Linked DNA regions of Anolis sagrei. The protein of the gene in region 2 interacts with the protein of the main gene of each other region in a pairwise test. Links are inferred from orthologs where the notes say so. Each region holds a gene or a part of one and is shown on either strand. Other genes may lie near its edges.

The links.
Region 1: the proteins of PBX3 (region 2) and prenylated Rab acceptor protein 1 interact in a two-hybrid assay, tested with the Homo sapiens proteins (2 studies listed by BioGRID). The two-hybrid records come from large-scale screens. The link is inferred for Anolis sagrei from reciprocal best matches to the Homo sapiens genes PBX3 and RABAC1.
Region 3: the proteins of PBX3 (region 2) and MAL2 interact in a two-hybrid assay, tested with the Homo sapiens proteins (2 studies listed by BioGRID). The two-hybrid records come from large-scale screens. The link is inferred for Anolis sagrei from reciprocal best matches to the Homo sapiens genes PBX3 and MAL2.
Region 4: the proteins of PBX3 (region 2) and PKNOX1 interact in a two-hybrid assay, tested with the Homo sapiens proteins (2 studies listed by BioGRID and IntAct). The link is inferred for Anolis sagrei from reciprocal best matches to the Homo sapiens genes PBX3 and PKNOX1.

The regions. Positions count from the first base shown.
Region 1 is NC_090035.1:83,783,973-83,792,297, forward strand, and holds the start of prenylated Rab acceptor protein 1, read left to right. Parts: upstream 1-4,958; 5' UTR 4,959-5,063; intron 5,064-5,200; exon of another isoform or gene 5,201-5,257; intron 5,258-7,541; 5' UTR 7,542-7,552; coding exon 7,553-7,632; intron 7,633-8,325. Other genes in the region: cornifelin homolog, read left to right, coding at 2,769-2,858. UniProt on the Homo sapiens protein: General Rab protein regulator required for vesicle formation from the Golgi complex. May control vesicle docking and fusion by mediating the action of Rab GTPases to the SNARE complexes.
Region 2 is NC_090031.1:6,688,598-6,696,360, reverse strand, and holds the start of PBX3 (pre-B-cell leukemia transcription factor 3), read right to left. Parts: upstream 3,364-7,763; 5' UTR 1,249-3,363; coding exon 986-1,248; intron 1-985. UniProt on the Homo sapiens protein: Transcriptional activator that binds the sequence 5'-ATCAATCAA-3'.
Region 3 is NC_090024.1:22,145,885-22,153,720, forward strand, and holds the start of MAL2 (protein MAL2), read right to left. Parts: upstream 3,083-7,836; 5' UTR 2,965-3,082; coding exon 2,824-2,964; intron 1-2,823. UniProt on the Homo sapiens protein: Member of the machinery of polarized transport. Required for the indirect transcytotic route at the step of the egress of the transcytosing cargo from perinuclear endosomes in order for it to travel to the apical surface via a raft-dependent pathway.
Region 4 is NC_090023.1:75,237,956-75,246,303, forward strand, and holds the start of PKNOX1 (homeobox protein PKNOX1), read left to right. Parts: upstream 1-5,263; 5' UTR 5,264-5,444; intron 5,445-8,348. UniProt on the Homo sapiens protein: Activates transcription in the presence of PBX1A and HOXA1.

The DNA.
Region 1 (8,325 bases), on a different chromosome or scaffold from region 2:
GACAGGAAGGAAGGCACCACCCCATCCCTCCCCACAGATGGACATGCAGCTTTTGCTTAAAGACTTACATAGAAGCCTAGAGTTGGAAGGCACCCCCAAAGGCCATCCAGTCCAACCCCTTTTTTGATAGGCAGGTGGCCATCCAGCCCATATTTCAAGGCTTCCATACAATGCTAGAGTTGGAAGGGGCCCCAAGGTGCATCTAATAATAAGGGGCATCATCTGATCCCTCCCAACAGATGTCCATCTAGCCCATGTTTCAAGGCTTCCATAGAATGCTAGAGTTGGAAGGGGACCCAAGGTGCATCTAATAATGATGATGATGATGATGATGATAATAATAATAATAATAATAATATAATAGAACCACAGAATGCTAGAGTTTTAAAGGATCCCCAGGTGCATCTAATAATAAGGGGCATCATCTGACCCCTCCCAACAGATGTCCATCCAACCTATGTTTGAAGGCTTCCATAGCATGCTAGAGTTGGAAGGGGCCCCAAGGTGCATCTAATGATGATGATGATGATGATGATGATACAACCATAGAATGCTAGAGTTGTACAGGACTCCAACATGCATCTAATAATAAGGGGCATCATCTGATCCCTCCCAACAGATGTCCATCTAGCCCATGTTTCAAGGCTTCCATAGAATGCTAGAGTTGGAAGGGGACCCAAGGTGCATATAACAACAACAACAACAACAACAACAACAACAATAACAGAACCACAGAATGCTAGAGTTGGAAGGGACCCCAAGGTGCAAATAATAATAATAATAATAATAATAATAATAACAACAACAACAACAGAACCACAGAATGCTAGAGTTGGAAGGGACCCCAAGGTGCAAATAATAATAATAATAATAATAATAACAACAACAACAACAGAACCACAGAATGCTAGAGTTGGAAGGGACCCCAAGGTGCAAATAATAATAATAATAATAATAATAACAACAACAACAACAACAGAACCACAGAATGCTAGAGTTGGAAGGGACCCCAAGGTGCAAATAATAATAATAATAATAATAATAATAACAACAACAACAACAACAGAACCACAGAATGCTAGAGTTGGAAGGGACCCCAAGGTGCAAATAATAATAATAATAATAATAACAACAACAACAACAACAACAGAACCACAGAATGCTAGAGTTGGAAGGGGCCCCAAGGTGCAAATAATAATAATAATAATAATAATAATAATAATAATAACAACAACAACAACAACAACAACAACAACAGAACCACAGAATGCTGGAGTTGGAAGGGACCCCAAGGTGCAAATAATAATAAGGTATATCATCTGATCCCTCCCAGCAGATGTCCATCCAGCCTGTGTTTCAAGGCTTCCATAGAACGCTAGAGTTGAAAGGGGCCCCAAGGTGCATCTAGGACCTCATCACACTAGAGTGTCTATCCACTTTCTGGTTGCTCCCTCCTGTAGAATTCTGGGGTTTGTAGTTTAGGGAGGGGCCTTTAAACTACAGCGCCAGAGAGGTCCTGGGCCTCCCTAAACTACAAACCCCAGAATGCTGCAGGAGGGAGCAACTGGATGCTCTAGTGTGATGAGGTACCAATAATAATGATGATAATAATAATAGAACCACAGAATGCTTGAGTAATAAGGAACCCCCACGGTGCATCTAATAATAATGATGATGATGATGATGATGATGATAATAGAACGATAGAATGCTAGAGTAATAAGGGACCCCACAGTGCATCTAATAATAATAATAATAATAATAATAATAATAATAATAATAATAGAACCATAGAATGCTAGAGTTTTAAGGGACCCCACGGTGCATCTAATAATGATGATGATGATGATGATGATGATGATAATAATAATAATAATAATAATAATAATAGAACCATAGAATGCTTGAGTAATAAGGGATCCCCACAGTGCATCTAGTAATAATGATAATAATAATAATAATAATAATAATAATAATAATAATAACACTAGAACCATAGAATGCTAGAGTTTTAAGGGATCCCACGGTGCATCTAATAATAATGATGATGATAATAATAATAATAATAATAATAATAGAACCATAGAATGCTTGAGCAATAAGGGACCCCCACAGTGCATCTAATAATAATGATAATAATAATAATAATGATGATAATGATAATAATAGAACCACAGAATCCTAGAGTTGGAAGGGACCCCAAGATGCATCTAATAATAAGGTGCATCATTTGATCCCTCCCAACAGATGCCCATCCATCCTGTGTTGAAGACCTCCATAGAATCCCAGATTTGGAAGGGACCCCAAAGGGGGATCTGGTCCAACCCCATTCTGTCTGGCAGGAAGACCCCATCCAATCCCTCTTTACAGAGGGCCATTCAGCCAAAGCCAAATGGCCATAGATATCATATAGTTAGATAAGATGCTAGATATATAATTGAATCCTAGAGTTGAAAGAGACCCTCATCCGATCCCTTTTTACAGAGGGCCATTCAGCCAAAGCCAGATTGCCGTAGATCTCATATAGAAGAGGGATAAGATGCTAGATACATAATTGAATCCTAGAGTTGAAAGAGACCCTCAAGGGCCACCCAGTCCAACTGCTAGGAATACACCACTCGATTCATCCTGACAGAGGGCTGTCCACATCTGTGACAACAACAACAACAACAACCACAACATTCTGCTTTGAGTCTTTTTTAAGAGAGGAAACAAGGATATAATTCATAATTAATGATGATAATAATAACAATAATGTTTCCCCGCAGGGCTCCATCTGTTCGGACTGGGTGGTGATGTCCTGCTGCCCGCTCTGCGGACTCTGCCAGCTCTCCAGGGAACTCAACAACAAGAACTGAGGACGCGAAGCCGGAATCCGAACACAGGACCACATTCCCACCACACAAACAGGAGTCTTAATAAATAAAATGTATACCTTGGTATAGATAATTTCCCCGACCTGTGCCTCTTTTTTGTTTCATTGGGGGAAGATTTGAGATGAATGTGGAGCTGGTGGGGCCAAACGATGACTCCCATGGTTCCTGTAAGAAATCCACATATAAAATGAGTTAACTTGGGGGTCCCTTTAACACATATAGTGCTACGATTTCACATCCTATGGAATCCTGGGACTTCTATTTATTTATTTATTTATTTATTTATTTAACTGGATTTTTTTAGTGCTGTATGTGTTTAATTCTATTTTAATGTTTGTGTTTTTGTATATTTTAATGTATACTAAGATCTTTATATCAAGCCACTTTGAGTTCTAGAAATAATAATAGTAATAATAATAATAATAATAAGCCAGTCAAGGTGGTCCCAGTGGTGATCGGCACACTGGGCGCAGCGCCTCGAGACCTTGGCCTGCACTAAAACACAATCGGCGTTGACAAGATTACCACCTGCCAGCTGCAGAAGGCCACCTTACTGGGATCTGCACACATTATTCGGCGATACATCACACAGTCCTAGAAACTTGGGAAGGGTCCGATGTGTGATCCAAGACAACAGCCAGCGGAGCGTCTGCTGTGGACTCATGTTGTGGTGTTTCTAATAATAATAATAATAATAATAATGGAAATGAAATATACAAATACCAATAATAATAATAATAATAATGTAGGAAAATGAAATATATCAATATAATAATAATGTCAATATAACGGTAATAAAGTAGGAAATGAAATATACCAATAATAATAATAATGTAGGAAAATGAAATATGCCAATAATAATATTAGTAGTAGTAATGTAGGGAAATGAACTGTATCAATAATAATAATAATAATAATAATGTAGGAAAATGAAATATATCAATAATAATAATAATGTAGTAAAATGAAATATATAATTAATAATAATAATAGTAATGTAGGGAAATGAAATATATCAATGCTAATAATAATGCCAATATAACAGTAATAATGTTGGAAAATGAAATATACCAATAATAATAATAACAATGTAGGAAAATGAAATATACTAATATAATACCACTAATATTGTAAGAATATGAAAATAATAATAATAATAATAATAATAATAATGATATAGGAAAATGAAATATCCCAGTAATAATAATAATAATGTAGGAAAATGAAATATATTAATATAAGACTACTAATACTGTAAGAATATGAAAATAATAATAATAATAATGAGATAGGAAAATGAAATATGCCAATAATAATATTAGTAGTAGTAATGTAGGGAAATTAACTGTATCAATAATAATATTAATAATAATAATGTAGGAAAATGAAATATATCAATAATAATAACAATAATGTAAGAAAATGAAGTATATAATTAATAATAATAATAGTAATGTAGGGAAATGAAATATATCAATGCTAATAATAATGTCAATATAACAGTAATAATGTAGGAAAATGAAATATACCAATAATAATAATAATGTCAATATAACAGTAATAATGTTGGAAAATGAAATATACCAATAATAATAATAACAATGTAGGAAAATGAAATATACTAATATAATACCACTAATATTGTAAGAATATGAAAATAATAATAATAATAATAATGATATAGGAAAATGAAATATCCCAGTAATAATAATAATAATAATGTAGGAAAATGAAATATATTAATATAAGACTACTAATATTGTAAGAATATGAAAATAATAATAATGATGATATAGGAAAATGAAATATGCCCATAATAATAATAATAATAACAGGAAGAAGGAATAAAATATTCCAAGAGAAAGAGAGAAGAAGAAAAAGGAAAATAAATAGGGAAAAGATAAATAAGGAAATTAGTTCCTAAAGGAGCAAATATTCCATTGCCTAAAGGGAAACAACACAACTCTAGGCCAGAGAGGCTTCTGTGGCTGAGGAGAAAGCCAGGCCTGCTGGGAGTGGTAGTCCGCGCCGCTCTGGAGCCAGGCCTGCGTCTTCCTTGGCGAGGGAGGCGCGAGACTACACTTCCCGGCAGGCTCCGCGGCCAGGGGAGGCGGTGTCACTTTAGCCCCGCCCCCTCCGGGTTGCCACGCAGGCTTGGCGCCGCCGGACGGACCGAGGAGAAAGCAGGTGAGCGCTCCCTCGCGAGGAGGGGGGAGGCGGTTGCTAGGGGCAACCAGAGCATCCTGGAGGGCCACGACTAGGCCCGAAGCCCTTGGTTTCCTGTTGTGGGGACCCGCCTTGGGGCCCCATCTTCTGGGCGAAGGCAGGCAGGGGCTTTTTGGGAGGAGGGGGTCTCTCTCCAGGAAAACCTCCCCTGCAAGGTAGGCCCCAAAAGCCTTGCCCCTATAGCTCTGTCTGTACATTGTACATGCCATAGAGATCTAGCTATAGAGATATACATACACACAGGTACATTGCATGCCCCAGGCATCTCTCTCTCTCTCACTATCTCCCTCTTGTCCTTGTTCCTGTCTGTATGTCCATTGAATGACCCCAACCATATATATATATACGCACACACATATACATATACACATGTACATTGAATGCCCCAGACCTACACACACACACATATGCACACACACATATATATTGAATATATAGTTACACACACATATATGGATAAACATACATATATATAGGTAGATATATATACACACACACATTGATATACATACATGTACATTGAATACCCCAGACCTACACACCCTCACACACATATGCACACACACATATATATTGAATATATACTTACACACACATATACGGATAAACATACATATATATAGGTAGATATATACACACACACACATTGATATACATACATGTACATTGAATACCCCAGACCTACACACCCTCACACACATATGCACACACACACATATATATTGAATATATAGTTACACACACATATACAGATAAACGTACATATATATAGGTAGATATATACACACACATATTGATATACATACACACATGTACATTGAATGCCCCAGATCTATACACATACACATGTATGCACATACACATATATATTGAATATAGACATACTTACTACTGTTGCGGTTAGGTGATCCCTCGTTTTCCGAGGAGGATTGTCTTCCAGTGTTCTTGTGGGTCCGTATGTGGCTGTGGAGCCCTATTCTTGACCCGCATCTTCTCCCTCAGTGAGGGCATTGGTTTCCAGGTGGAAGGCGGTCTCGGTCGGGGTTGGCTTGACACGCCTTCCTCCTGGCACGTTTCTCTCTTTCACTCTCCATTTGTGCCTCTTCAAATTCTGCAGCACTGCTGGTCACAGCCGATCTCCAGCTGGAGCGCTCAAGGGCCAGGGCTTCCCAGTTCTCAGTGTCTATGCCAGAGGTTTGTAGGTTGGCTTTGAGCCCATCTTTCAATCTCTTTTCCTGTCCTCCAACATTCCGTTTTCCGTTCTTGAATTCGGAGTAGAGTAACTGCTTTGGGAGATGGTGGTTGGGCATCCAGACAACGTGGCTGGTCCAGTGGAGTTGATGGCGGAGGACTATCGCTTCAATGCTGGTGGTCTTTGCTTCTTCTTCCAGCATGTTGACATTTCCCTGCCTGTCTTCCCAGGAGATTTGCAGGATTTTCCGAAGGCAGCGGTGATGGAATCGTTCCAGGAGTTGCATGTGACATCTGTAGACAGTCCATGTTTTGCAGGCGTAAAGCAGGGTTTGGAGGACAATAGCTTTATCAACAAGCACCTTGGTATCCCTACGGATGTCTCAGAAAAATGCTGCACTTAGAAAAATGCTGCACTTGCAGAGTTCAGGCGGTGTTGTATTTCTGTGTCGATGTTGACTTTGGTGGAGAGGTGGCTGCCAAGGGAGCGGAAATGGTCCACATTTTCTAATGAAACTGTATCTCTGGCATTGGGGAGGGGGTGGCTGGTGACTGCTGGAACAGCACTTTGGTTTTCTCGATGTTCAGTGACAGGCCGAGCTTCTCGTATGCTTCTGCAAAGGTGTTTAGTTAGAGTGGCTTGTAGATCTTCTTCTGAATGCGCACATACGACGTTGTCATCAGCATACTGGAGACATACTTACACATATGTGTAGATAAACATATATATAGGTAGATATATTCACATGTAAGATGGCTTTTAAGCAACCTTTAATGTGAATATAAGTGATTTTAATTTTTGTATATATTTATGGTTTTATGTCCTGGCATTGAATGTTTGCCGTATATATGTTGTGCTCTGCCCTGAGTCCCCTAAGTTGAGGTGTAAAGGGCAGAATATAAATGTTTTAAATATATATTGCACATACACATATATTGATATATACACACATATATAGGTAAATATGCACACACATTAACATAACTCAAAAACCACTGGATGAATGGACACCAAATTTGGACACAATACACTTATCAGGCCAACGAGCGACCATCACTCAGAAAAACACTGAAAAACACAACAGAAGGGACTTAAAAAGCAAAAAACAATACATTACAATGCATCCGCAGAACCACATATACACGGATATACAAACACATATATACAGACTGGGCCACAGCAACATGTGGCAGGGGATGGCTAGTATATAAAATAAATACTAACTTTACTCTCTTTTTGTCCTACAGACGGGATCAGAATGGCGAGCAAAACCAGTCCGGAGCATCTCTTCAATCCGGCCACGGAGATGGAGACGGCCGGGACAGTGCTGGGCACCAAGTAAGGGTCAAGGAATATTATGACATGATGCATCCATCCTTCCACATACCATCATTTGGGGGAAAGGATGCTTTTAGGCCCAGAAATCATTTATGGGGCACTTCCTGCACCTGTTGATAGATAGATAAAAAGATAGATAGATAGATAGATAGATAGATAGATAGATACCCTGTTTCCCCAAAAATAAGACAGCGTATTATATTAATTTCAGCTCCCAAAGATGCACTACGTCAGTGTTTCTCAACCTGGGGGTCGGGATCCCTGAGGGGGTCATGAGGGGGTGTCAGAGGGGTCGCCAAAGACCATCAGAAAACACAATATTTTCTGGTGGGCATCGGGATTCTGTGTGGGAAGTTTGGCCCAATTCTATCATTTGTGGGGTTCAGAATGCTCTTTGATTGCAGGTGAACTATAAATCCCAGCAACTACACCTCCCAAATGATAAAAATCAATCCAGCCCCCGACCCCACCATTATTCAAATTTGGACGTATCAGGTATTTGTGCCATATTTGGTCCGGTGAATGAAAATACATTCTGAATATCAGATATTTACATTACATTTTAAACAGAGGCTGGATGGCCATCTGTCAGGGGTACTTTGAATCCAATTTTCCTGCTTCTTGACAGAATGGGGTTGGACTGGATGCCCCTTGAGGTCTCTTCCAACTCTAGGATTCTATGATTCTATAATT
Region 2 (7,763 bases):
TTTTCTGTTTATCCCAGATTATCTGGCAGTGTGGACTCATATAATCCAGTTCAAAGCAGAAAAGCTGCAATTGGAGAGATATATATGTATGTATATATATATATATCCTCTCCCAAAATATCCCCAATAATATAGAAACTTGAGGCCCTTCCAGGCAGGCCCTATATATCCCAAGATCCAATCACATGTTTTTTTTGTTTATCCCATATTATCTGGCAGTGCGGACTCATATAATCCAGTCTAAAGCAGACAACATGGAATCAGACCATGGGATATAATATAGGGCCTGTCTGGAAGGGAGGGAGGTCGAATGACAGAATTGGAAGAGACCACAAGGGTCATCTAGTCCAACCCCTTGCCAGGTGACAATTTTGGACCATATCGAAATGGCAATGGAAAATGGGATCGGCTAGGTAAACATCCCATCTTATGCATGATTATGGGGACTTCTCCTTGCTGAAGGAAGGATGCATTTTTGGAGAGGGACATCTCATGTCCACAGATATGGATGAGATGTCCCTCTCAATGTTTGTGTCAACACAAACACATGCAAGGATGGAGTGGATGGGGAGATGTATTGTGAAGCAGATTCCTTTCCTGAAGGAGAGCAACTTTGCTTGCATCTCATAAAGGTGGGCAACTTTTGGCTCTGAGAAAAAGGAGCAGTGCATCGATGGGCCATTTTGGACCTTGCAAAACAGTAAGGGAGGAATGGATGAAACCAACAGCATCGACCTGAATATCCATCCTTCTGAGCATCACAGACTACCCATCCTTCTGAGCATGCATTCTGGAGAGGACACCTTATCCACACATACCTACACTCACACTAATCATAAGATGGGAATCTTGACCTCAAAGGAACCCGCACAGGTGGGTCCATATTTTGTGGGTCCATATACACACATACACACACTCATGCACACAGACAGAGACAGAAGGGGACCGAAGCGCATCAGGCACATTTAAAACACAAGGGTATTACTTTTGGGTTTTTGGGGAGGGAAGGGGGGGTTTGTCTGCTGGAGAAGTGGGGGGGACCAACTTTGCTTGCGCCTCGTCCAGGCTCTGGTCGGTGATGGTCATGATCTGGTGGAGGATGTCGCCGATGTCCTGCTTGCGCCCGTCGCCACCGTCGGGGACCTCGTGCCCGTGAGGGGGGGGCAAGGGCATCCCTCCCCCGGGAACCGGGTGCCCCGCCAGGTTCACCCCCGCCAAGGTCTGCAGCATCCTCGTCTGCTCGTCCATGGCCCAGGAAGAGAGCAGGAAGGAGGAGGAAGGAAGGGGAAGAAGAAGATGGGGAGGAGGAGGAGGAGGAGGAGGAGGAGGAAGAAGAAGAAGCTGAAGAGGTGAATGAAAAGGAAAAAGAAGAGGAAAGAGAAGAAAGAGGAGGAAGAAGATCAGGAAGAAGGGAAGGAGGAGGAAGAAGGAGATGAAGAGGAGGAAGGAGGAGGAGGATGAGAAGCAAGAGAAGGAGGAAGAGGAGTGAGAGTATTGAAGATCAAGAGGAGGAAGAAGAGGAAGAAAAAAAGAGGAAGGAGAGGAGGAGGAGGAAGAATCAAAAGAAGAGGAAGAGGTAAGAAGGGAAAGAAGAAGGAAAAGAGGAAGGAGAGGAGGAGGAGGAAGAATCAAAAGAAGAGGAAGAGGTAAGAAGGGAAAGAAGAAGGAAAGGAGGAAGGAGAGGAGGAAGGAGAGAAGGAAGAATAAAAAGAAGAGGGAGAAAAAGGAAGGGAAAGAAGAAAGAAGAGGAAGAAAAGGGGAAGGAGGAAGTGGAGGAGGAAGAAGATGAAGAGGAGGAAGAGGAGGAAGTATAAAAAGGGGTTGAAGAAGAAAGGGAAAGAAGAGAGGAGAAAAGGAAAAGAGAAAGCAGATGAAGAGGAGGAGGAAAGAGAGAAGGAAGAAGAGGAGGAAGAATAAAAAGATGAGGAAGAAGGGGAAGAAGGGAAGGAAGAGGAAGAAGAAGATGAAGTGGAGGAAGGAAAGAAGGAAGAAGAGGAGGAGGAATAAAAAGAAGAGGAGGAAAAGAAAAAGGAGATGGAAAAGAGGAGGAAGAAAAAGAGGAGGAAGAGGAAGAAGAGGAAAGAAGAAGAGAAAGGAAAAATGAAGAGGAGGAAGATTAAAAAGAAGAGGAGAAGGAAGGGAAGGAGGAGGCGGAAAGGAGGAAGAAGTGGAGAAGACTAAAGAGAAGAGGAAGGAGAAAAGGGTGGAAAAGAGAAGGAGGAAAGATGGGAAGAAGATGAAGAGGGAAGAGGAGGAAGAAGAGGTGAAGGAAGAATAAAAAGAAGAGGAAAGAGGAGAAGGAGAGGAGGCAGATGCAAGTCCGAGCTCAGTCCTGGCTGCTCCTTTCCAGGCAAATCGAAGCAGGCAAAAGCAGGGCTTCCTCTCCTGGGTTTCTCTTCCTTCCTTCTTTCTTTCCTGGGAGCTCTTCTCTCAACGCTGGGCTCCTTTGCTCATCCTTGGGCGGCTTTCCTTGAGTCAGTCCCAGCAATCTGGAGGAAGAGAAAGAGGAGGAGGAGGAGGAAGATGCTGAGTCCCAGCAGCTCCCAGCAGAGCTCTTTCCAACGATTGGCTTTGTGTTCTTCTTCTTCCTCTTCTCCCTCAAGCTTCTTTCTTCATCCTTCGCCCTCTTGCAATTCTCCTTCAGCACCACAAAAATGTAGATATTTCGGGAAGGCAAAGGCTCCAAAGTTGACAACAGTTAGTTGCCGGTGGTTCTTTCTCGCTCTCTCTTCCTCTTGGATTTGTTTTTTTCCTTCATCGAGGGAAGAAATGGTGTTATTTTCCCAGAAAATAGATTTGCAAAAAAATAATAAAATAGTCAAACCGCTTTGCAATCCAATTATTTGGAGAGAAAAAAAATCACATCGTTGCTCCGAACGGCAAGAAGGGGGAAAAATGCAAAAAAAGCCACATCACAAAATTTCCCAGCGTCTGGTTTGCTTGCAAAAAAGAAAAAAGAGGAGGAGGAGAGGGAAAATCGCCAGCAAAGTTTGCAAGTTGTGCAAAAAAAAATTGGAAAAAATAAAATTCTTTTTTTTTAAGGAAGGGGGCAAAAAAAGAAGCAAAGTCTCTCTTTTGCAAAGACGGGAAAAATTGCAATTAATGGCACACCGGCTTTGCAAAAGGGGGAGGAGGGCCAAAGAGGGGGGAGAAACCCCATCCAGCTGCAATTTATGAGCCCAGCAGCAGCAGCCCCAGTGACTGTGGTGTGTGTTTTATGTTGTTTGATGGCCGCTTTGGTGAGGGATTGACAGGCTGCCAATGCCACTCACTCACCCTGCAGACGTGTCAAAGGAGGCGAGCCCAGAGAGAGAGAGAAAAGCAAGCGAGCTGGTCGAAGCCACGCCCCTTTCCCCGGGCTTCTCGGCCTCCAAGCCACGCCCCTTTCCCCGGGCTTCTCGGCCCTCCCAAGCCACGCCCCCTCGCTCTGAGAGGCCGCCCCAAGCCACGCCCCCAAGCTCCAAGCCACGCCCCTTTGGAATGCTCCGGGCTTTCAAGCACCGCCTTCGCCTCGGCTCAAAGCCACGCCCCCTCTCTCATGCACTCCTTCCCATCCAGCTGGATCTACACTGCTAGAGAATCCAGTTTGGGCATAAACTGCATTGCATTGAACTGCATTCTATAGCCAGGTTTTTTTTCCCCCTCCAAATAATAAGTTTTATCAATTTACTCATTTAATAACAATGTAATATTATTACTATGCTTAACAATATTACATTAAATATATTAATATATTATTACTATGCTAACAATATAATTAGATTAATATAATATATTACTAGGGTAATAATATATTAATATAATATATTAATATATTACTATGCTAACAATATAATTGGATTAATATAATATATTAATATAGTAATAATATAATTACATTAATATAATAAATTATTACTATGGTAACAATATAATTACATTAATATAATATATTAATATAGTAACAATACAATTACATTAATATAATATATTAATATAGTAATAATATAATTACATTAATATAATATATTCATATAGTAACAATATAATTACATTAATATAATATATTCATATAGTAACGATATAACTACATTAATATAATATATTCATATAGTAACAATATAATTACATTAATATAATATATTTATATAGTAACAATATAATTACATTAATATAATATATTCATATAGTAATAATATAATTACATTAATATAATATATTCATATAGTAACGATATAATTACATTAATATAATATATTCATATAGTAACAATATAATTACATTAATATAATATATTTATATAGTAACAATATAATTACATTAATATAATATATTACTATGGTAATAATATTTATTATTTATTTATTTATTTATTTATTATTTGCATTTGTTAACCGCCACTCTCAGCCCGAAGGCGACTCGTGGCGGTGTACAGAACATAGAACATAAAGACAACAGTTACAGTAAATCAAGATCATGACGCACATCAACTAACACACAACTAATTAAACTAAAAATCCGCTTCGTCTTGTTAGGGTCATAATCAATCTCGTGGTCATAGTCCATTCCGGTGGTCATTCCAAAACATAGCACTTAATTGAAGGCCTTTTCGAAGAGCCAGGTCTTCAAGCCCTTACGGAAGGCCATGAGGGAAGGCGCCTGTCTAATTTCAGCGGGGAGGGAGTTCCACAGCCGGGGGGCCACCACCGAGAAGGCCCGCTCTCTCGTCCCCGCCAAGCGTGCCTGTGAGGCAGGCGGGACCGAGAGAAGGGCCTCCCCGGATGATCTCAAGGTCCTCGTGGGCTCGTAGGCCAAGATGCGGTACTCAAGGTATTTTGGGCCGGAACCGTTTATATAATATATTCATATAGTAATAATATAATTACATTAATATAATATATTCATATAGTATTACTATGGTAATAATATAATTACATTAATATAATATATTAATATAATATTACTATGGTAATAATATAATTACATTAATATAATATATTAATATAATATTACTATGGTAATAATATATTATATATATTATATATTCACTGCTTTGAGTCGCCTGAGGGCTGAGAAAAGCGGTATATAAATAAAGTAAATAAATAAATATATTATTCTTATACTAACAATATAATTACATTAAAATAATATATTAATATATGCTAACACTGTAATTACATTAAGATAATATATTAATATTGCTATGCTAGTAATATAATTACATAAATATAATATATAATAATATAATTACAGTACACAATATATATAATTACATAATAATATAATTACATTATATAATATATAGTAATATAATTGCATTACATAATGTATAATAATATAATAACATTACATTATTATATGCCCCCGGTGGTGCAGTGGGTTAAAACGCTGAGCTGCTGAACTCGTTGACCAAAAGGTCGCAGGTTCAAATCCGGGGAGCGGCATGAGCTTCCGCTGTCAGCCCCAGCTTCTGCCAACCTAGCAGTTCGAAAACATGCAAATGTGAGAAGATCAATAGGTACTGCTTCGGCGGGAAGTTAATGGCGCTCCACGCAGTCATGCCAGCCACATGACCTAGGAGGTGTCTACGGACAACGCCGGCTCTTCAGCTTAGAAATGGAGATGAGCACCACACCCCAGAGTCGGGTGCGATTTGACTTAATGTCAAGCGAATACCTTTACCTTACTATTGGCATAGCACAATATTAGAATTATATACTACAGAAGCGGTACCTATTGATCTACTCACACTTCTATGTTTTCGAACTGCTAGGCTGGATTTGACCCACCAACTTATTGGTCAGCAACTTCAGCAGATCAGCGGTTTAACCTGCTGTGCCACCGAGGGCTACTTAATCTACTGGTACCATATAATAATAATAATGTTTTATATACTGTCCTATCTCTTAAACTATACAAATATACAATAATAAAACAGTATTATCATTATATATATTAGTACTACTATATTGCAATATTATTCTTTTGTCTTATCATATTGTATTATGACTAGTGTTATATTGTATTATCAATATTATGTCTACACGATATATTGTTATTATAGACAATATTAGTGTTATACATTACATTGTGTATATATATAATATATTTACATTGTAATGTAATAATACTAAAATAATATAACACAATATTAATATGCATGTTATAATATAATATATTACAATATAATAAAGATGTTATAATATAGTATATTTACTACAACTTATGATATAGCGCAATATATTATATAATTAAAAAGGTAAAGGTTCCCCTGACCTTACATCTAGTCCTGTCCGACTCTGGCGGGTGGTGCTCATCTCCATTCTTAAGCTGAAGAGCCGGCATTGTCCGTAGACACCTCCAAGGTCATGGGGCCAGCGTGACTGCATGGTGCGCTGTTAGCTTCCCAGAAAAGCGGTACCTATTCATCTACTCACATTTGTATGTTTTCGAACTGTAAGTTTGGCAGAAGCTGGGACTAACAGTGGGAGGTCACCCTCCGCTCTCTGGGTCCAAATTGCTGACCTTTCAGCAGCTCAGCGCTTTAACCCACTGTGCCACCGGGGGCTCTTTATTGACAGCGTATAATTATAGTTATTATTATTTAAATACCGTTCTATTTCCCAAAAAGGACTCAGGACGGTTCCTACCAACCAATAATACTATACTACAACATAATATTATAATTATATTTTATGAATAGTATTATCATTATATATTGTTATATATTATCAGTAGTATTCTATTTAACATAATAGTATTATTATATTATAATATTATAATTAATATTCTATGTATACACAATATATTATATTATTAGCATAGCGCAATGCTAGTATACATGAAATATTACATGTAATATTATGAATAATATTGCAGTATACTGGTATAGTAGAATATAATATATAATATTAATACTGTGCTATTATAGCAATATGTTGTGTATACATATAATACAGTTATTTATTATCAGTAGTAGTATATTCAAGATATTAGTATTATATTATTATATTATTAGATATTATATACATTATTATTATATTTTAATAATTACAATATTATAATTAATCTTCTATGTATACACAATGTATTATATTATTAGCATAGCACAATTTTAGTATATATGCAATATTTTGAATAATATTGCAGTATAGTAGTATAGTACAATATAATAATATATAACATTAAAACCATATAATATTTTATAATAATATTGTAATATACTAATAGTATTATATTAATTTCCTACTGATAATTGCTTAGTACAATATAATATATAATACTAATACTGTGCTGTGATAATAATATATTGTGTCTACATATAATATATGTGTATTATATGTATTATATGTATTCATATATATTTTCAATACTGTGCTATGATAATAAAACATTGTATATACATATAATATTTATAATAATATTATAATATAATACATAATATCATATTTTGTCTACATATAATTTTATAACATTATAATATAATACATTATAATACTAACAATAATACCATATAACAATATTTTATAATAATATTGTAATATACTACTACTAATAATATATTAAATTCCTACTGATAATAGTATACCACAATACAATAATATACAATACTAATACTGTGCTGTGATAATAATATATTGTGTCTGTATATAATATTGATAATAATACTGTGCTATGATAATAACATATTGTATATACATATAATATTTATAATAATATTATAATATAATGCGTAATACTAATAATAATACCATATAACAATATTTTATAACAATATTGTAATA
Region 3 (7,836 bases), on a different chromosome or scaffold from region 2:
CATTGAAGAGGATAGTTTAAGTGGCATCAAAATTGCATTGTAGATGCCCTCTTAGGGCCCTTCTAGATCCTGGCCTTAATATGCCAGGTTCTGATCCCAGGTTTTCTGCTTTAAACTGGATTATATGAGTCCCCACTGCCAGATAATCTGGGATAAACAGAAAACCTGGAATCAGATTCTGGGATATGAAGCCTGTCTGGAAGGGCCCTTAGGCAGAAAAGGCTAAAAGCCAGATAAAGTTACAACTCCCATAGCATTAGGTCTAACCCAACTGTTCACCCCTTATAAGCTCCTCCCTCAGAAATACACTTTCCCACTATTATCTCATCCAGGGTTTTATCCTTTTTTTTATCCTGTGCATTTGGTTCGCCCACTGTGTTCTATCTCCTCATTATGCTATTTTGTAAATGTTTATTTTATTTTGTTACTTCATGTATCTTATTTTAATGTAATTTTTGTCTCTTTGTATTGTATTTTTGGGTTTGGCCTCATGTTAGCCACCCCAAGTCCCCTTTGGGGAGATGGTGGTGGGGTATAAATAAAGAAGAAGAAGAAGATGATGATTATTATTATTCTGACACAAAACCACAGTTTGTCACAGCAAACGAGATATATGTGCTGGATTTCATAACACAGCTCCAGCTAGAGGTCAGCTGTGACCAGCAGTGCTGCAGAATTTGAAGAGGCACGAATGGAGGGTGAAAGAGAGAAACGTGCCAAAAGGAAGGCGTGTCAAGCTAACCCCGACCAAGACCGCCTTCCACCTGGAAACCAATGCCCTCACAGTGGAAGAAGATGCAGATCAAGAATAGGGCTCCACAGTCACCTACAGACCCACTGCCAGGACACTGAACTTGGAGGACCATCATCCTTGGACTACGAGGGATCGCCTAAGTAAAGTTCATATCACAAAATCACAAGTCGAACACTTCCCAAGCATCTAGGACTGTGTGATGTATTTTTGAATGATGTGTGCAGATCCAAGTAAGGTGGCTTTTTGCAGTTGACAGACTGTGATCTAGTCAATGTTTATTGTTTCCAAATGCCGGCTAAGATCTTTTGGCACAGCACCCAGTGTGCCCATGACCACTGGTACCACCTGTACTGATTTATGCCAGAGCCTTTGCAGTTCGATTTTGAGGTCCTGATAACAGCTGAGTTTTTCCTGCTGTTTTTCCTCAATGTGACTGTCACGTGGTATGAACAATCACAGAAGCGGCAGAAATATACAATGCCAGAAAACCGTACAATAATAATAAAAAAAGGTAAAGGTTGTCCCCAGACATTAAGTGCAGTCATGTCTGACTCTGGGGTCTGGTGCTCATCTCCATTTCTAAGCCGAAGAGCCAGCGTTGTCCATAGACACCTCCAAGGTCATGTGGCCAGCATGACTGCATGGAGCGCTGTTACCTTCCCGCCGGAGTGGTACCTATTGATCGACTCACATTTGCATGTTTTCGAACTGCTAGGTTGGCAGAAGCTAGGGCTGACAGCAGAAGCTCACGCCACTCCCTGGAATTGATCCTGCGACCTTTTGGTCAAGAAGCTCAGCAGCTCAGTGCTTTAACCCACTGCGTCACCGGGGGCCCAAATACAATAATAATAATAATGATAATTATTATTATTATAGCATTGAGCCAGGGCTGTCCAACTTGTGTCAAACTGCATTAATTTGACACCCATAGAAATAGAAGAACCCGTGGGTTGGTTGGTTGGTTGGTTTGACATCCAACCTGCCAACAACAGATGCAAATAAGACCAGAGAGTCGATCAAGAGCTCAAAAAATCTACACCAAGCATGGACAAACTGGGCCCTCCAGGTGTTTTGGGCTCCAACTCCCACCATTCCTAACAGCCTACTGGCTGTTAGGAATGGTGGGAGTTGAAGTCCAAAACACCTGGAGGGCCCAAGTTTGCCCATTCCTGATCTACACTGTTGAAATAATACTGTCTGACTCCATGTCTTGAAGGCCATGGCTGAAGACCACGTCAAGCTACAATTCTCTTGACTCCACGCTTTTGAGCCAGGGCAATTCGAGCGGTTCCAACAAGTGGACGCATGGCTTAATGTACAGAGTGGATACATCCAAAGCGTGCTCTCTCTCTCTATCTCCCACTTGTTGAGCGTTTATCCCGATGGAGACCCCTCCTCCCCTCCCCTCCCCATCTACACCAAGTTTGCCCATTCCTGATCTACACTGTTGAAATAATCCTGTCTGAATCCATGTCTTGAAGGCCATGGCTGAAGACCATGTCAAGCTACAATTCTCTGGACTCCACGCCACTGAGCCAGGGCAATTCGAGCGGTGCCAACAAGTGGGCACATGGCTTAATGTACAGAGTGGGTGCATCCAAAGCGTGCTCTCTCTCTTTATCTCCCACTTGTTGAGTGTTTATCCCGATGGAGACCCCTCCTCCCCTCCCCTCCCCATCTACACCAAGCATGGGCAAACGTGGGCCCTCCAGGTGTTTTGGACTCCAACTCCCACCATTCCTAACAGCCTACCGGCTGTTAGGAATGGTGGGAGTTGAAGTCCAAAACACCTGGAGGGCCCAAGTTTGCCCATTCCTGATCTACACTGTTGAAATAATACTGTCTGAATCCATGTCTTGAAGGCCATGGCTGAAGACCACGTCAAGCTACAATTCTCTTCAGCCTTTGAGCCAGGGCAATTCGAGCGGTGCCAACAAGTGGGTGCATGACTTAATGTACAGAGTGGGTGCAGCCAAAGCGTGCTCTCTCTCTCTCTCCCACTTGTTGAGCGTTTATCCCGAGGGAGACCCCCCTCCCCTCCCCTCCTCTCCCCTCCTTGGTGGACTTACGATCTCCAGGCAGATGAAGGCCCCCGAGTAGGTGCGCAGGATCTCCAGCCCCGAAGGGAGGGTGATGCGAGGTGGCGGGTAGTGGGCGGTAGCGGTGGGAGGCGGCGGCATGGAGCCCCCTCCGCCGCGGGCAGGGAGCATGGCGGCAGGGAAGGAAGGAGGGAGGGAGGGGAGCAAGGCCCGGACGTGGCCTCCGACGAGGGAGGCAAGCAGGGAAGGTGAGAAGGGAGAGAAAGAGGGAGGAGAAGCGCAGGTGGAGGAGGGCGCCTTTTGTCGGGCGCCGCCCTCTCCTCCGCCACCGCCTCCTTTTCTCCTCCTCCTCCTCCCGACGCTACTTTTGCTCCCACCTTCTAATTTTTTCTCACCTGCTCTCCCTCCCTCCTTGGCCTTCTCCACACCTGGATCTCAGGAAGGCTCCCCACAAGGGTTATTGATTTCTGTGCTTACTCTATTTGTATACCGCCCTTCTCAGCCCTCAGGCAACTCAGGGCGACTGACAGAGCAACGGTTCCATGCCCAAGAACATCATAAAACATTTAACACATTGGGTTGTTGTAGGTTTCTCCGGGCTATATGGCCATGTTCTGGAGGCAATTTTTCTCCTGACGTTTCGCCTGCATCTATGGCAAGCATCCTCAGAGGTAGTGAGGTCTGTTGGAAGTAGGAAAAATGGGTTTATATATCTGTGGAATGACCTGGGTGAGACAAAGGACTCTTGTCTGCTGGGGCTAGGTGTGAATGTTTCAGCTGATCACCTTGATTAGCATTCAATGGCTTGGAAGTGCCTGGGGGGACTCTTTTGTTGAGAGTGATTTTATGTGCCTGTTTGTTTCCTCTCTGTTGTTTTGCTGTTGTAATTTTAGAGTTTTTTCTAATACTGGTAGCCAGATTTTGTTCATTTTCATGGTTTCTTCCTTTCTGTTGAAATTGTCCACATGCTTGTGGATTTCAATGGCTTCTCTGTGTAGCCTGACACAATAATCTATATAAATAATAAAAGTAATGTTCGTTTGTGGGATTAACATAACTCAAAAACCACTAGACGAATTGACACGAAATTTGGGCACTATACCCCTAACAGACCAATGAGTGACCATCATTCATACCCCCCCCCCCAAAAAAAGTGGAAAGGACTTAAAAACCCCAAAAAGCTAAGTGACGAAAAGCTAAATGATGATACAGGGTCATTTAGGGAAGGAAGAGGGAGGAAAGGAGAGAAAGAAAGAAAGGAGAGAAAGAGGGAGGTAAAGAAAGATGGAAAGAGAGGAAGCATGGAAGTAAAGAGTGAAGGAAGGAAGGAAAGAGGTAGAGAAGGAAGAAAGGAGAAAAAGAGGGATAAAAGAAAAAGGGGGAAGGAAAGAAAGAGGTAGAGAAGGAAGAGAAAGTAAGAAAAAAGGAAAGGAAGGAAAGAAGTAGAGAAGGAAGAAAGGAGAGAAAGAGGGAGGGAAGGATAGAAGGAAAGACAGAAGTCTGGATAGAAGCAAAAAGCGAAGGAAGGAAGGAAAGAGGTAGAGAAGGAAGAAAGGAGAAAAAGAGGGATAAAAGAAAAAGGGGGAAGGAAAGAAAGAGGTAGAGAAGGAAGAAAGGAGAGAGAGGGAGGGAAGGAAAGAAGGAAAGGCAGAAGTATGTATAGAAGCAAAAAGCGAAGGAAGGAAGGAAAAAGGTAGAGAAGGAAGAAAGCAGAAAAAGAGGGATGAAAAGAAAAAAGGGGGAAGGAAAGAGGTAGAGAAGGAAGGAAGGAAGGAAGGAGAGAAGGAAAGAAAAAAGGGAGGAAGGACAGAAAGAGGGAGCGAAGGAAGGAGGGAAAGAAGAAGAGAAATAGGGAGGGAAGGTTGGCCACAGCAGCGCGTGGTGGGTAAAGCTAGTACATAGTATAAAACCAAACAAAAGTAATAAAAACATAAAACATTTGCACCTCCTAGTTTAAAACATTATCCATCTCGTTGTCCAGTGGTTCAAAGTTCCTATATCTTTTACACTGCATTTTCCGGAATGTTAAGAGGGAGGGCCCCCCGATCTAATGTCTGTAAGATGGGCGTTCCATAGCCGAGGGGCCACCATTGGGAAGGCCCTGTCTCTCATCCCCGCCAAACATATTTGTGACTCAGGTGGGATCGAGAGCAGGGCCTCCTCCAGACGATCTTAAAGTCCTAGCAGATTCATAAGAGAAGATGCATTCAGACAGGTAAGTTGAACCAGAACCGCTGAGGGCTTTATAGGCTAAAGCCAGCACTTTGAATTATGCCCGGTAGCAGACTTGCAGCCAGTGGAGCTGGCGCAACAGAGGAGTTGTATGCGCAATCTGGCTGCCGTCCATTGGACCAATTGAAACTTCCGGACAGTCTTCAAAGGCAATCCCGTGTAGAGCGCATTGCAGTAGTCTATATGGGATGTAACCAGAGCATGGACTACCGTGGCCAAGTCAGGCTTCCCAAGGTATGGGCGCAGCTGGTGCACAAGCTTTAACTGTGCAAAAGCTCCCCTGGTCACCGCTGAAACCTGAGGTTCCAGGCTCAGCGATGAATCCAGAATCACACCCATGCTGTGAACCTGTGTCTTCAGGGGGAGTGTAACCCCATCCAACACAGGCTGTAACCCTATGCCCTGTTTGGCCTTGCAACTGACCAGGAGGACCTCTGTCTTGTCTGGATTCAATTTCAATTTGTTCACCCTCATCCAGACCATCACAGCGGCCAAGCAGCGGTTCAGGACCTGAATAGCCTTCTTAGTAGCAGGTGGAAAGGAGTGACAGAGTTGGACGTCATCTGCGTACAGGTGACACTGCACCCCTTACGATGCTTGCAAAGAAGCTGCTCTAATGTGAGACAGACAATGCTGCAGTTGGAGGAGTAATTTATTGGTAATTATAATAAATTAATTATTATAAATTCATAGAATCATAGAGTTGGAAGAGACCTTGTGGGCCATCCTGTCCAACCCCCTGCCAAGAAGCAGGGAAATCGCTATCAAGCCTTTGTTTAAAAGTCCCCAAAGAAGGAGCCTCCACCACACTCCAGGGCAGAGACTTCCACTACTGAACAGCTCTCACAGTTGTTGTTGTTCATTCGTTCAGTCGTCTCCGACTCTTCGTGACCTCATGGACCAGCCCACGCCAGAGCTCCCTGTCGGCCGTTACCACCCCCAGCTCCCTCAAGGTCAGTCCAGTCACTTCAAGGATGCCATCCATCCATCTTGCCCTTGGTCGGCCCCTCTTCCTTTTGCCTTCCACTTTCCCCAGCATAATTGTCTTCTCTAGGCTTTGCTGTCTCCTCATGATGTGGCCAAAGTACTTCAACTTTGTCTCTAGTATCTTTCCCTCCAGATCTTCTTGCAGTCCAAGGCACTCTCAGCACTTTCCTCCAACACCACAGCTCAAAAGCATCGATCTTCCTTCGCTCAGCCTTCCCTAAGGTCCAGCTCTCACATCCGTAGGTGACTACAGGGAATACCATGGCTTTGACTAGGCGGATCTTTGTTGCCAGTCTGATGTCTCTACTCTTCACTATTTTATCGAGACTGGACATTGCTCTCCTCCCCAGAAGGAACCGTCTTCTGATTTCCTGGCCACAGTCTGCATCTGTAGTAATCTTTGCACCTAGAAATACAAAGTCTGTCACGGCCTCCACGGTTTCTCCCTCTATTTTCCAGTTGTCAATCATTCTTGTTGCCATAATCTTGGTTTTTTTGACGTTTAGCTGCAACCCAGCTTTTGCACTTTCTTCTTTCGCCTTGATTAGAAGGCTCCTCAGCTCCTCCTCGCTTTTGGCCATCAGAGTGGTGTCATCTGCATATCTGAGGTTGTTAATGTTTCTTCCAGCAATTTTCACCCCAGCTTTGCATTCATCAAGCCCTGCACATCGCATGATGTGTTCTGCATACAAGTTAAAAAGGTTGGGTGAGAGGATGCAGCCTTGCCGTACGCCTTTCCCAATCTTGAACCAGTCTGTTGTTCCGTGGTCAGTTCTGACTGTTGCTACTTGGTCCTTGTACAGATTCCTCAGGAGAGAGACAAGGTGGCTTGGGATGCCCATCCCACCAAGAACTTGCCACAATTTATTATGATCCACACAGTCAAAGGCTTTAAAATAGTCAATGAAGCAGAAGTAGATGTTTTTCTGAAACTCCCTGCCTTTCTCCATTATCCAGCGGATATTGGCAATCTGGTCTCTCGTTCCTCTGCCTTTTCTAAACCCAGCTTGAACATCTGGCAACTCTCGCTCCATGTATTGCTGGAGTCTTCCTTGCAGGATCTTGAGCATTACCTTACTGGCATGAGAAATAAGGGCCAAGACTGCTCCAACTTCCATACAGTGGCTCTCACAGTTAGGATCTATTAATAATAATCCTAAATAATATTAATATTAATTCTGATAGTGCCTTGGACCACGAGAAGATCCAACCGGTCCATACTTCAGGAAATAAAGCCCAAGTGCTCATTGGAGTGAAGGATATCAGAGGCAAAGATGAAGTAAGACAGGGAAGCTTAGAGAAGACAGTGATGCTGGGGAAAATGGAAGGAAAAAGGAAGAGAGGCCAACCAAGGTCAAGATGGATAGATGGCATCCTTGAAGTGACTGGCTTGATTCTGAAGGAGCTGGGGGTGGTGACGGCCAACAGGGAGCTCTGGTGTGGGCTGGTCCAAGAGGTCACAAAGAGTAGGAAATGACTGAATGAATAAACAACAACAATAAATATTAATACTATAATAATATTTATTTAATTATAATAAATGAATTAATATTTATTTATTTATTTATTTATTTATTTATTTATTTATTAATAATTGGAGCCCCTGGTGGTGCATTGGGTTAAACCACTGAGCTGCTGAACTTGATGGCCAAAAGGTCACTGGTTTAAATCCGGATGGCGGGGTGAGCTCCTGCTCTTAGCCTCAACTTCTGCCAACCTAGCAGTTTGAAAACATGTAAATCTGAGTAGATCAATAGGTACTACTGGGCAACGTCCTTGCAGACGGCCAATTCTCTCACACCAGAAGTGACTTGCAGTTTCTCA
Region 4 (8,348 bases), on a different chromosome or scaffold from region 2:
GCATTTAAAAAGTAACCTCTTTGTTGCATTTTGAGTGGCATACAAAGAAGCGTAGTAGGATCCTTATGCAAATAGGCGCATTCAGTCAGTGCTGTAGTAAGTTCCAAACTAATCCATGAGATTCTACTTAAATGTGAGGTTGCACAAACAAAAATAATCTATTGTGATGTACATTAACTTTCTGGCATAGAACGACAAAAGTTTTAGAATAGTAGCATTTTTCTGTGAGTAATGTATATTTGCATATAGAAAGGTACATCCTTGACTCTAGCCCATCACTGGAAACATGCACATTAAGACCAAGCTGGCATTAGTGAACTGCAGCTGGTGGGACCATCTGCCAAGCAGTGCTATAAAACTTTACAAATATTGGGGCTTATAGTTGTTGATTAAACCTAAACATAGTTTAGTTAAAGGAGGCTGGAAGCAAGAGGGAATGTGTGATTTAAAGCTGCTTCTTTACTTACATCCCATCCCAATCTCTGGGTTCAGGAAGGCTTACAAGAAGTTTAAAACCATACTTAGTACTTATTTTAATCATGGGAAATGTTGCAACTACTACACAAATGGAAAGTGTGCTGCCATTAGTTCCTCCTATCCTCCTTTTGATCATTAGGATTTACCAACACAATCTTATTGCAACAGCAAAAACCTATGAAGGTCAAGGGCTCTGGGAGAGTTAATCACAGCAACTGGCTCTGATCCCCTCCCCTCTGGAGATCCGCCAAAGCCTAAGCATTTTCCAAAGGCAATGCCAGCCCTTTTTCATTTCGACTGGCATTGGATGACTGGGAGTTAAGCCAATAGGGAGCTATTTTAAAATTGGCCATGTCTTTCCTCTATGCCCTCATTTTTTCAATCTTTGTTGTAAATATGCTCCTTGCTTTTTTCAGGCTGGGTGAGAAACCCAGGAGAATCAATGCAGAATAATTATTTATTCTGAAAGGATACCATCAAAAAACTCAGAAAGAGATCATCAGAATGAACTCAGCTGCCAAATTTGCTCTGCCTGTTTGCTGGCTGCCATATTGAATTTCCCCCATTGAGTCCCAAGAATCATCAAACTATGGAAACTGCCAGCATATGGATACAGAAACATTGGAAGCTGGTTTCTTCTTTGCTCTTATGCACTTTTAGTATACATCCTTTTCTGGGAATAAGTCCAATGGACCTAGTAGAACATAGTTTGAAGTAGACACATATAGGACTTCACTGAAAGTTACAAAAACAAATTATGGCACCACTCACAAATTTTGTAAAAAATACAATGATTTTTCTAAAATGGAACAAGGCCTTTCACATTCACTTAAGTGTGAGCCAAGTAACCAGACTTGTTATGTCTGGTGCTTGGTTCATTTTAAATCAGTGTTCAGCTTCTTACTGTATTTTTGTAATAAAAATGTGTTACTCATATCTTATTAGTATATGGATATGATGAAACCAATAATATTAAGTTCTCCTTCTGTTTATTTATATCCCATTTTTTCTCTCCACAAGGAGACTCAAAGCTGAATATCCTATTATTCTGAGAATTCCAGCCATTGTGAAATACCTACAATATGATGACAATGCCAACAAATGCTATATTGTTAAACTTAATGATTAGAAACAAACTGTACCAAGAACAAAATGGTGCAACATTGTAAAACAGTAGTTTTAAAATGAGTGTTATTTAGCATTGGGTGTTGCTGAATTCAGGTCACTTTTTCCAATTCATAGATTACACATTTTTGTGAATCACAGTAATGTTGTTGCAATATTTAGGTCATGAACTAGTTCGTTATGAATAGGTCTTCATAGACAACAGATTAGGGAAATATTCACAGATATAAGTTATTGGTGTATTAATGTATTGGAAAATAAAACAGCAGTTAAATCCAAAAGTCAGAATACAAAACATAAGATGACTAAATTATCTTTTATTCTCACCTTTTTGTATTTCATAGCCAGATACAGTACATGATTCTATAAATACAAAGAATTTAACAACTAAAAAAATGAATGTTCCACATCTCTATTGATTTTTAGTGTTTATTTTAACAAGTCTCTAACTCTTTGCAAAAACATGTTTATCCACTTGCATAGAAATGAGCACAGAGTCATTAAAATGACCTCTACATACTATTTTAACCACATTAAACTTCTTAGTTATTCATATTGGGAATTTCTAATTTGAAGTTATGGGTACCCTCTAGTAAAAGCACTGACGCCCCAGAAAGTTAATATGAAAAGTATCTACTACTATTGTTTCATCCATAAATTTGTCAAAGTGGACTCCGAGGATACAAAAACAGCTCCAAGGTTTTATGATGGGTAACACACTCTAATTTTGAATGAGTACAGTGTTTTGGGATTGTGTACTTCCAGGTAGATATGTGGTAAGTTGGCTCCCAAGCAACCCTGAAAAGAAAACAAGCTCGGGTTTGATTTTTAGAGACAGACACACAAACACATACCATGGATAATGAAACACATAGATGGCAAAATCCAGAGTTGCTTATTGGAATTGTGCATATACCATATAAAATTCCAAAAAGCAACTCTCATTTTTTTTTCATGCTGTGATTGATTGAATCCATTGATGCAAAATCTGTAGACATATAATGGCAAAATCAAGGTTATTATATACACACACTCTCTCTTATCCATAAAGACACACAGGGAGGGCTCACTACTTAGCAAACTGTCAGCTGGAATTCTTCGCACAGGCCTCTCATGAAACCAGTGGTTCCCAACCTGTGGTCCATGGACCATCAATGGTCTCCAAGAACGAAAATATGACATGTAGCAATGAGAACGACTGGACTTACAAAATCCTCTTATAGTGCTGAAGCAATGGGTATGTCAGGAAGGGAGAGGCTGACTACCAACGAAAGGTGTGACAAACCTCCTGACTGCTGCTTTTCCTCTTCCTCCCTCTACCTGAACGGAGCTGTTCCATGTGGCGCCTGGAAACAGAGGCACCTTGGTGTCATTTTTAGCCCTGTTCCTGGGGTTATTTGGGGTGCTGATTCAGAAAATTGCATTGCATAGATCACATCAGCTCTAGATTATTAAATATGGGTGAGCAGATGGCGACTCCTGGATGGCATATGTTCTGTATCAGAAACTAGAGCTGATGTGGTCTATCCAATGCAATTTTCTGAATCAACACCCCAAATATTATTTATTTAAAAGTTTTGTATACCGGTCTTCTCACCTCTCTTGAGGGACTCAGACCAGTTTCCAACCATAATATCACATACAATCAATAAAACATCGCAATACATATTACAGTAAAACATTAAAACAGCAATTACAATCAATAACTATAATGGTCAGTCGTTACACTAAAATCGCTGCTCATCATCCTCCATCCATATCTCAGGGTGTTGGCTCACTCGTCAAATGCCTGTCTCCATAACCAAGTCTTCACCTGTTTCCTAAATGTCAGGCTAGAAGGGGCGGTTCTGATCCCACTCGAGGCCGGTGGGACTGAGAGCAGGGCCTCTCCAGACGATCTTAATAATCTTGATGGTTCATACATTCAGAGAGGTAAACAGGGCCGGAGTCGTTTAGGGCTTTATAGGTTAACACCAGCACTTTGAATTGTGCTCGGAAGCTAATTGGCAGCCAGTGGAGCTGGTGTAACAGCGGAGTGGTGTGCTCCCTGTACCCAGCATCCGTTAGTAGTCTGGCTGCCGAGCGTTGGACTAGCTGCAGCTTCCGGCCAGTCTTCAGAGGCAACCCCACGTAGAGAGCGTTGCAGCAGTCTAAACGGGATGTAACCAAAGTGTGGACCACCGTGGCCAAGTCAGACTTCCCAAGGTACGGGCGCAGCTGGCGCACAAGTTTTAATTGTGCAAAAGCTCCCCTGACCACCGCCGAAACCTGGGGCTCCAGGCTCAGCGATGAATCTAGAACTGGATCTAAAATTGACCAAAACTGATTCTTAACCCTTTTGGAACTAATGTTGAAGGGTGGTCCCTGGTAAAAAAAAAAAAAAAAAAACAAGGTTGGGAAACACTGCACTAAGCTCTGTGGCCTGAATTTCAAATAAGCCTACATTAAAAAGTAAAGGTAAATGTTTTCCTGACATTAAGTCTAGTTGTGTTCGACTCCGGTGGGTGGTGCTCATCTCAATTTCTAAGTCGAAGAGCTGGTGTTGTCCATAGACATGGTCATGTGGCCAGCATGACTGCAGGGAACATCATTACCTTCTCGCAGAAGCGGTACCTATTGAGCTACTCACATCTGCATGTTTCGTATCATTTCCTGCCCCCAACCAACACTGTTTTAAAACCACAGGTATAATGATTTTCACTTTTTTCCTTCTGAAAGGAATCACATTGTTACAGATCTCAATGTATTTCAACAGTTAAATTTGGGCAACCAGGAAAGGGTTGCTATAAGACCCTCTCCATTACCCTTATCTGTATGTAAATAAATATATATGTATTCATTCAGATGTAAACATGCATATAAAATATGGGTTCATAAATCCGTATGTGTGTATATGTATATATGTGTGTGTGTATTTATCAATGTATATATTGTTTATATAAATGTGTGTATGTGTATATACCCAGTGGGTCAAAAGTCACAAAGGGGTTTCAATACCAGGTGCGCTAAAAGTTACAAAGGGTTTCAAAATTCATTTATTTTTTAATTTATAATTCCACGGCATCATATACAGCGGGTGTGGGAAACTCTAGCCCTCCATCTGTTTTGGACTTCAACTCCCACAATTCCTAACAGCCTCAGGCCGCTTAAGCAGCTGAGAGGGAAAAGGAAAGGGCCTGGGGCTGTTAGGAATTGTGGGAGTTGAAGTCCAAAACAGATGGAGGGCTAGAGTTTGGCCAGGCCTGCCTCAGATGCCGAAATTTGCCCATGTATTCATATATAGAGAGAGGGCGTGAGAGGAGCAGAGGAATCCTAAGCCGTTAACAGTCCCTTGCTCCTCTTTCCCTTTGTTGCCTGCACATTCCTTTAAAGAGAATGGGAGTACTGGGTAGCCCATCGTGTCGCGACAGTGATGGGCGCTGCGACCCACCTGCTGGCCACTTAGCCTTACGATAAGGCCTCATGACGTCACGCGCAGCTTCCCTCAAGCCGAAGGAACCTATTAAAGGCCTGGGAGAGGGGGCGTGGCCAACCCGCCCACCTCATGAGTATTCATAAACCCGAGGCGGTCGCGCGCCGAGGCCCCGATGGGGCGGGCCCGTGGAGGGGAAGGCCCCGCCCCTTCCAGCCTAGGCCGGCGCCGAGGTGGGCGTACCTCCAAGCGCGACGTCGCCCACTCCTTCGCTGAATATTGATGAGGCGTCTCGCGGAGCGTGCTGTCGTGTCAGCCCGGCGTGGCTCCCGATTGGACGAGGGCGTGTGTGCGCGGTGACGCGCGTCGCGGCGGTGCGGGTCCCGATTGCTGCAGCCGCTTGTCAGTGTGACGAAGATTGGCACCCAAGGTAAGCGCTGTCACTCAAACCTGCTCCTAGCCAGCCAGCCAAGCAGCCAGCCATCCATCCATCACGGCGCGCCCGACGCCGCCGCCGCCAGTGCCGGCCGCCTTGGCTGAGCCGCGCAAACGGACCCGGGGGTGTGGGGCGGGGGAGGCGAGGCCGACATACGGAACAGCAGGGCGGGGGCATCCTCGAGTGGCGGGGCGGGAGGGAGGGGGGGTTGGCCGAGGGGCGTCGGCAGGCAGGCAGGCAGGCGCGAGGGAGGGGGAGTGAGGAAAATTCTGGAACAGCCGTTGCTCTTGTAGGAGGGGGAGGGGGAGTCGGCGGGAGCGCGCGCGCGCCCGGGAACGAAGGTGTCGCGCGCCTCAGGGGGTGGAGGAGGGGGAGGAGGAGGGGAGAGAAAAGGGCAACAGCTGTTTGTGGCGCGAGGCGACGCGGGGGGTGGGGGGGGGGAAGAGCAGAGGCAGAGGAGGGCGAGATTTAAAGGGGCCGCTTTCAGGGACATTCCGATAGACCTGGAGCAGCGGGGAGAGAGGCAGCAGCTGCTTGTGCTTCTCCTCCTCCCAAGTGCCCCTCCCTCCCCCCCTTCCTCGAGTGCGGCTTGGGCTCCTTTGGCCCTCAGCCCGCGGGGAAGGAAAGCCAACCCTGAGGGAAAGGCCCTTCCTCCTCCTTGTCGCCTTTCCGTTGTTTCAGATTCCCTTTTCACCTGTAAACCGAGGGCCCTTCCATACAGCCATATAAACCAGAATACCAAGGCAGAAAATCCAACAATGTTTGCTTTGAACGGGGACATCTGAGTCCACACACTGCCATATGTCCCATATATATAAAGCAGAAAATGTGGGATTTTATTCAACTGGGTGAAAGGGGCCTGACATTATGAGACGTGCGAAGGTTTACATAATATGGCTGTGAACAATAAAACATGAGGTGTTTCACCTCCTTTCTGTCCCCTTTCCTTACTTATCTCCTTTCAGATATATATATTATATATGAGGAATATTTGTGTCTCATGTCAACTCCTCCCAAAACGGATTGAATGTTGAAAGATTCTGGAGATAATCCACCAAGCATTATTATTCCTCCTTTGTGATTATTTTTGTGAGTGGTAATAAATGTTGTATATATTTATATTTGAGGCATCCTGTGATGTCGCACTGCCACCCCCTGACAGGAACAAAAGGCTTCTAAATACAATAGAGTCTCGCTTATCCAATATAAACGGGCTGGCAGAATGTCGGATAATAAGGGATGAAGGAAAAGTTTATAAATGTAAAATTACATTATAATTTTACAAATTAAGTACCAAAACATGTTTTAAACCAGGGGTCCTCAAACTAAGGCCCGAGGGCCAGATGCGGCCCTCCAAGGTCATTTATCCAGCCCTCACTCAGTGTCAACCTAAATCTGAAATGTCTTGAAAGCACACAACAACAACAATCCTATCTCATCAACCACACTTCCCATTGAAATACTAATAAGTTTATATTTGCTAAAATTGTTCTTCATTTTAATTATTGTATTGTTTTTAAGTGGGTTTTTTTTGCACTGCAAATAAGATACGTGCAGTGTGCATAGGAATTCATTCATGTCTTTTTTTCAAATTATAATCCGGCCCTCCAACAGTTTGAGAGACTGTGACTTGGCCCTCTGTAGCCACATAATGCTTATGGCAGGTCTTTGTGCAGACTTCTACTGAAATAAATTCATTTCTGGAATTCTGGTCACAAAAAAGGTTTGAGGACCCCTGTTTTAAACAAATCGACAGAAAAAGCAGTTCAATACATTGTAACGTTGTGTAGTAATTACTGTATTTACAAATTTAGCACCAAAACATTGCAATGTATTGAAACAGCTGTGGATCTGGGTGGGAGGCAAACTGCGTTGGGTAATACAGAACATTGGATGAGCAAGGTTGGATAAGCGAGACTCCACTGTAACAGGGCCAGCACCCCTTATCTGGAAATCAGAAAGCGCAATTGTCCAAATGGCCGGCTAAGATAGGATTGTCCAAATAGCTGGCTAAGAAAATATGGGTTCATAAATCCATATGTGTATATATGTTTGTATCAATCTATATATTGCTTATATAAAACACTTGCTTTCTGATGCTTTAACATACATTGATTTTGTTTCATACATAAAATTATTGAAAAACATCATACAATAGACTCAGATCAACCCTGGCAAAAAGTTGAAGAAATAATATGTAATAATAATAATGAACTTTATTTCTAGACCACCATCTCTCCTCAGAGGGACTCAGGCGGTTTACATATAAAAAGGCAAACATTCAATGCCTCAAAATGGGTACAAACACATCAAAATAATACAGGGTGATGGAGGGTAAACTTACAACAAAGGAATTAAATCTCAAATATAATAAAAAATTAAAATAAAAGCATTGAAATAAAATAAAAACAAGGACAATCCACTAAGACATAAAAACAAAAACATAAGTAAATATTTCAATATACACTCTAAAAGCAAGTTAAGATACATTACATTAGTGGTTATCAACCTGTGGGTCCCCAGATGTTTTGGGCTTCAACTCCCAGAATTCCTAACAGCTGGTAAACTGACTGGGATTTCTGGGAGTTGTAGGCCAAAACACTTGGTTGAGAACCACTGCATTACAGTAAAAATGGCTGACATCGCTGCTTTGTTTAAGATGTCTCATAACATAAAATACAAGTGGATTAGCCACCATTCAAAGTGCCCTGGTCCTCCCCTCTATACACTAAAATACATTTTTAAAACTTTAAAACTATTTTTTATAAAACAGTAATAATAATAATAATAATAATAATAAACTTTATAACCCACCCTATCTCCCCAAAGCAGGGGTTCTCAACGTTCCTAATGCCGCGACCCCTTAATATAGTTCCTCATGTTGTGGTGACCCCCAAC